2 linked regions of the Canis lupus familiaris genome follow. The protein of the gene in region 1 interacts with the protein of each later gene in a pairwise test. Links are inferred from orthologs where the notes say so. Each region holds a gene or a part of one and is shown in the gene's direction. Other genes may lie near its edges.

Region 1 (3,095 bases):
GGCCCCGTGTTCAGACATGAAGATATTTCCAGGTGGTGGCAGCTGCACAGGGTCTCATGCGCAGTTACCATTGTTTCCCTTAACCAGCCGGGGTGCCGCCTCCACACGAGAGAGGACAGACTCAGGTCTGTGTGCCAGAGACACAGGCTGTCCTCGTGGAGGGATGGACAGGGATGACACAAAGGTGGCCTTTATTGGGGTACCCATGTCGAAAAGGAATAATGAATTTGTGGGTCAGGAGGAGAGGCCCTGGCTTCGAAGACAGGCTCCAGCTCTAGCCCCGCTGCTGTGGCCCTTGGAGCCCAGGTCCTCGGCTGTGGGACCTTGAGCGTGTCCAGCACGTACTCTGTTCTAGACACGGGGTTCCTGCCTCCTTGGAGCTTACAGTGGGGTGGCCCCTACCTCGGAGAGTCTAGAGAGTTCAGCAAGATGTACTTGTAAAGCGTTCGGAGCAAGGCCTGTGGGAGGCCAGTGATACAGACCACCCTGTTCAGACCATTAGATCTCCAAGGCCCCAGGGGTTATGACTTGGGGTGAGTGGTGGTAAGTCGGGGAATCTCGGGACCTTTGCCAACAAGTGTGGCAAAAAGACTCAAGCCCCCATTGCTGCCTGTCCCAAGGCCACCCGCTGAGTGGGTCTGGATCTCTGCTGCTTCCTCTGGTCTGGCTGCCAGCCTGGCTTCCCAGCTCCCCTCGGAGCCAGCACTGTGCGTGGAGGGTGGACCGAGCCCTGTCTAGCTGCCAGGGGACCCCAGAGCCCCTGGAACCTTGGGGTGGAGAGGCTGGAGCTCTTTAATGGCTTCAGGCTCGTCGTGGTGGTCCTGGAGGCCTCTCTGAGGGAGGTGGCCTCTGTCCCCAACACGTCTTTGTGCTTGGTGTTTCAGACCATTTGGTTTGACCTCCAGCAGCGCCTTGCGGACGAAGAAGGCACGAACATGGTGAGGCCTGCTCCCTTTCTGCCGCTCCCTGCGGCCCCATCCCTGCCTGAGCCAGGACGTGATGCAGGCAGCTCGATGTCCTTGGCACCCCTCCCCTGGGTACCCCACAAGGGGAGATGCAGCCCCGGCACCTGGCCACCTGCCCCTCCCAGGGCTGTCCTCTGATCACAAACAGCTTGGCTCAGAGCAAAGTGACCAGCGCAGTGACACCAAATCCACCCAGAAGTGGATTTTGCCGGGCACTGGTTTTGTTGTGTGTCAGCCCAGACGGCCCGGCCGCTCCTGATGCCCGTAGGGCCTCTTTAAACACCCTTGCTGGGTGCCGGCCCTGGTGGGGCTCCCGTCTGCTTTTAGCTCTTAAGCCCTAGTTCTTTATAGCCGGCTTGCATGTGGCAGGATGAAGGGCGTGTCGCACACGTGAGGGGTTGTTGGTTTTGTTTTGACCAAGCTGTCCCATGGTCTCGGAGGGCAGGCCTGGGGAGGCCGGGTGTGGGGCTGTGCCCGGGGGCGGGGAGGCGGGTGCCAGGCCCGGGGCGCCCAAGCTCACTCACCCCGTGGCCCCACAGCACCTGCAGCTGGTCCGGCAGGAGATGGCCGTGTGCCCCGAGCAGCTGGGCGAGTTCGTGGACTCCCTGCGCCGGTACCTGCGGGCCACCGCCGGGGCCAGGAACTGCTTCCAGTGAGTGAGCCGAGGGGCAGCGGCCGCAGCTCTGCCAGGGGCGGGGGGCTCCCCCAGAGAGCAAACCGCACCCCAGGGACCCCACAATGGACCGGGCTTTGCCCCCTGCGCAACCAGGGCCATGACTCCAGCTCCCTGGCTTTAGCATCCTCGTCTGTAAAGTGGGGCCACTGCCCGGACCCCCCTCACTGGGGCTGTGGGAGGTGAGCGTGGCCTAGGGGACGTGAAGGCCTCAGGCCAGGGGGTAGGACAGTGCGTGCCCTCAGGGTGGCCGCCCCGGGGCCCCACCCTTAGCTCCCTGCCACCTGCCGGGTCCTCGGCAAAGCTGAGCTGACGGCCACATCTGAGCAGTCCCTCACACTTGCCGGGTGGCCGTCATCAAGGCTGCTGGCCCAGGCCTCCCGGCTCTGGCCCATCCCGTGTCTCGCCCCCAGGAGAGCGGCTGTGGCTCCAGCTTGCTCTCTCCCAGCTCGCAAGCACGTGTGCTTCCGGGGATGCGGCTGGGAAGGGAAGCAGGCCGCTGCTCTGGCCGAGCACCTGTTCTAGGTGGGAGAGGGGCAGATGGAGAACGGGGTGCTGTGGAGGCCATGAAGCAGGGTCCTGGAGGGGCTGCAGGGATGGTTTGCTCCGGGGTGAGGGGTGGCTGGACCTGCTGACTCGGAGGAAAGGCCGTCCCCGCTAGGTCAGCTGGTGCCGAGACCTGGAGTGGCAGCCGGGGTGCCCTGTGTGGCACCTGCTGTGGCCCGACGGCGACACCAGGGGTGCGGACTGGGGCTGGTCGGGACTGTGTGGGAGATGCTGGAGCAGAAGGCAGACGTGGCCTGGTCTCTCCTCTGTGTGATGAGGGCTGAGTGGGGACCGGGGTGCATCAGGGCCAGGGGAGGCCCCGCAGTCACTGAGCAGGGTGGCCTTCCTGTGCCGTGGGTTCTGGAGCAGAGCTGACCGGCCTCTCCAGTGGCTGCAGTGGAGGGAGGAGGCAAGGCTGAGCGGGAGAGTGTTTGTCTCCAGAAACCCTGTAGAGGGTGGTGCGTGCACTGAGCTGGAAGGTCAGGAGGAGGCCAGGTGTGCTGGTGGGGGCATTGTACAGGCCTCCTGGGCCACGTTAAAGTCAGGCTAGCAGCCAAGGTGCTGACGTACAGGTGCAGCAGTCCTGGGAGGAGAGGTGTTCCCCGTGGGCAAGGCTGTCAGGAGCAGAGGGGCGCAGGCGGGTGGAGCGGGGCTCCCTGCCTGTTTGTAGAAGGACTGCGTCCTCCCTACAACCCACGCTTGCGTGTCTCCCTGCCTGCCCAGAGGCATTCCCCCCACAAAAGCAATCAGTGTGTCGCCAGCCACACAAATGCAGCCCCCGTGGTGGCTTTCATCTCCCAGTAACCAAGTACCAACAAACCAAATTGCTCCGGTGACCTAAAGCCTTGCCATCCATGTCTGGTGCAGGGTTACATCTGATCGGAGGGTGACACGTGTGCCCTGTCCTCTCG
Region 2 (3,651 bases), on another chromosome or scaffold:
CCCACGTCGGGCTCTCGGTGCATGGAGCCTGCTTCTCCCTCTGCCTATGTCTCTGCCTCTCTCTCTCTCTCTGTGACTATCATAAATAAATAAAAATATTAAAAAAAAAAAAAAGATTTAAGGGAAGGAGGGAAAGAGATGGCTTGGGGGCAGAGTTCAGGGTCACCCCTTGTCACTTCTCTCCTCTTCCAGGGACCAGAATAAGTATAAGGAAGCTGCCCACCTGCTGAATGATGCCCTCAGCATCCGGGAGAGCACCCTGGGCCGCGACCACCCTGCTGTCAGTACTCCTTGCCTCCTCCTTTTCTGGCTTCTCTTCATTTGTGTATCCACTGCCCTCAACCCACTTGCTAGGGGTGCTCTGGGAGGAGGTGTGAGGGCTCCTTTCTTCAGGCCCTGTCTGCTAAGACCAGTGGTTCTCAATTCTTTGAGACACAATGACTTTTCCTTATAATGAATATTTTTCTGAAACATAATTCACAGACACTGTAACTGACATACACGTAGAATTCCAAAAAATGTTGAGTGATACCTCATTAATATAAAAATGAGGAAAGCAACTTAGAGAAAAATAACATGTAGAATATGTACTATGAAATGACAGGGTAACAGTTTTAAGTACAACTATGGCAGAAAACATAACATATAACTTAAATACAACATAATATACAACTTTAGATTTAGAAAAAGTGAGACCAGTAAGACTACTGTATATAAAAAGTACTAGAAAAATGACAGAGCAGGGGCTCCTGGATGGCTCAATCAGAAGAGCAGGAGACTCTTGATCTTGGGGTCTACGCCCCATGTTGGGCATAGAGATTCTAAAAAATAAATAAAAAGTATTTTAAAGTGTCACTTTAAAAAGTGACAGAAAAAAAATGACAGCAGAAGTACTGGTGGATACAAGATTAAAATCCTGTGTCACACCAAGTAACTACAGGTCGGATCTATTCGTATATGATGAGAAAAAGAAAAATGATAGATTGTCATAATGGAGAAAATGAGAAACAAGATATTTTTGCAAATGAGCTGACTTTAGGAAAATAATTCCTTATGTTCCCCCACGTGATAGGCAGGGATGATGTAGCTGAGCAAACAACTCCTATCTTGAGATCCCACTAAGTGTCAAGGCTTACAGTGTTCAAATGTCTGGCAGGACACTGCAGAGTTAACAGAGCTTTACCCCACGTGCAGAACATCTGCCAACCTTACCTTCCCAGAGGTAATAGTGGCCCCGGTGTTTATGGTGACCCAAAACCCCACCTCCAGAAATATCTACAAATCCCCCTAGAGGGCGGTACCACCCCCAGAGAGAACCTCAGCACCTCCAGGTCAGCATCTTCTCCCCTACCTAGGGGTAGGATGGCAGAGTTCCTTTATCCTGGGAGTGGTGCAGTGTGGGGCCCTGTTGTGCAGGGGGAGGCCTCTGAAAGCACCAATGCTTAGGGGGACAGGCCTGTCTTCCTAGGTGGCTGCCACACTCAATAATCTGGCTGTGCTCTATGGCAAAAGGGGCAAATACAAGGAGGCGGAGCCACTGTGCCAGCGTGCACTGGGGATTCGAGAAAAGGTACCTGTGCTTTCTCCATCTTCTCTGATGCGGTGGTCCTTCCTCAACCATCTCTCTTCCAGTCTGCCCTCTTCCCTCATTTTTGTTCTCAACCCCCTATGTCTGCCTTGTTCCCTTTCCTGTCATTCCCTTCCCTTGTTCCCCACATGGTTATGTGCACACGTGTTGTACACACACACACACACACAGTCCTAGCCACCTGTCACACTCCTTTACTTCCTTCCAGGTCCTGGGCACAGATCACCCAGATGTGGCAAAGCAGCTGAACAACCTGGCCCTGTTGTGCCAAAACCAGGGCAAGTATGAGGCCGTGGAACGCTATTACAGGCGGGCACTGGCCATCTATGAGGGGCAGCTGGGGCCAGACAACCCTAATGTAGCCCGGACCAAGAACAACCTGGTAAGGGAGGAAGGGGAGAAGTCAGTGGAGGGAGGGGAAGGGAAAGTACCATAATGTACAACACTCACCCCATCACCTTTGCGCAAAGGGGCTGCCTGTGGGGCTGAGGGATCTGCCTCATTCCTGTGGGAAGGCCGAGTCCCAGAGCCTCCTGGGAGTGGAATGAACACCCTTGACCATCCGGCTTGAAAAGGAAGGATGAGGAGGATCTCTGGGGAAAGTCATAGGGAGACCAAGAAGTGGAAATCCCTGAGCCCTGCTAAGACCTTGTCTCTGTCCCGTGTTTTTTCCTTTCTGCGCACAGGCTTCCTGTTACCTGAAACAGGGCAAATACGCTGAGGCTGAGACGCTCTACAAAGAGATCCTGACCCGTGCACATGTTCAGGAGTTTGGGTCTGTGGATGGTGAGCAGGGTGGGCCTGGGGAGGGACCTGCAGGGTGTGAAGAAATGCAGAGCAGGGGCGCCTGGGTGACTCAGTCTGTTGAGAGTCAGACACTTTTTTAAGATTTTTTTTTTTAAAGATTGTATTAATTTATTCATGAGAGAGACACACAGAGAGAGAGGCAGAGACACAGGCAGAGGGAGATGCAGATTCCATGCAGGGAGCCGGACGTGGGACTCGATCCCGGGTCTCCAGGATCACACCCTGGGCTGAAGGCGGTGCTAAACCGCTGAGCCACCCAGGCTGCCCTAAGATTTGTTTTTTTTTTTAAGATTTTATTTATTTATTCATAGAGACACAGCTAGAGAGAGAGAAGCAAAGACACAGGCAGAGAGAGAAGCAGGCTCCATGCAAGGAGCCCGACATGGGACTCGATCCCGGGTCTCCAGGATCACGCCCTGGGCTGCAGGCGGTGCTAAACCGCTGCGCCACCGGAACTACCCCAGATTTTTTTTTTTTTAAAGATTTATTTATTTATTCAGAGAAAGAGAGAGAGGCAGAGACACAGGCAGAGGGAGAAGCAGGCTCCATGAAGGGAGCCCGACATGGGACTCGATCCTGGGTCTACAGGATCACACCCCGGGCTGCAGGCGGCGCTAAACTACTGCGCCACCAGAGCTGCCCAGATTATTTTTTTTTAATTCATGAGAGACACACAGACCGGCAGAGACATAGACAGAGGGAGAAACAGGCTCCATGCAGGGATCCCAATGCAGAACTCGATCCTCAGACTGCAGGATCATACCCTGAGCCGAGGGTAGACGCTTAACCAATGAACCACTCAGGGCGTCTTGAGCGTCAGACACTTGATCTCTGCTTAGGTCTTGATCCCAGGGTTGTGAGTTCAAGCCCTGTGTTGGGCTCCACCTGTGGAGTCTACTTAAAAAAACAAAAACAAAATGTAGACCAACGGTGGGGGGTTAGGCCCTAGTGGTTCTCAGGCATTTGGGTCCTGGCTCCCCCTTGTACTGTCTAGCTGTGTTCTCTAATCTTACCACCCCATCCCATATATCACCCCTAGATGACCATAAGCCCATCTGGATGCATGCAGAGGAGCGGGAAGAAATGAGCAAAGTGAGTATGGGGCCCAGCGTGGAGAGGACCTCTATCTGAGCCTCTGGCTTACTCCTTGCACCTGCCTTGCTTATTTCCCACATGAGCATCAGCCCCAGCTGCATGGTGCCGTGGCCTTCTCTAGCGCAGCCCACAACTTGGCCCACAGCCAGCCTGCTGGTGCC

Evidence for each region. The genes of interacting proteins can lie anywhere in the genome.
Region 2: the proteins of NECAB2 (region 1) and KLC4 interact in binary tests that used the Homo sapiens proteins (3 or more experiments, as listed by UniProt). The two-hybrid records come from large-scale screens. The link is inferred for Canis lupus familiaris from reciprocal best matches to the Homo sapiens genes NECAB2 and KLC4.

What each region holds. Positions count from the first base shown.
Region 1 is NC_049226.1:68,814,305-68,817,399, reverse strand, and holds part of NECAB2 (N-terminal EF-hand calcium-binding protein 2), read left to right. Parts: intron 1-884; coding exon 885-938; intron 939-1,504; coding exon 1,505-1,617; intron 1,618-3,095. UniProt on the Homo sapiens protein: May act as a signaling scaffold protein that senses intracellular calcium.
Region 2 is NC_049233.1:11,773,145-11,776,795, forward strand, and holds part of KLC4 (kinesin light chain 4), read left to right. Parts: intron 1-192; coding exon 193-280; intron 281-1,468; coding exon 1,469-1,570; intron 1,571-1,796; coding exon 1,797-1,970; intron 1,971-2,274; coding exon 2,275-2,374; intron 2,375-3,434; coding exon 3,435-3,487; intron 3,488-3,651.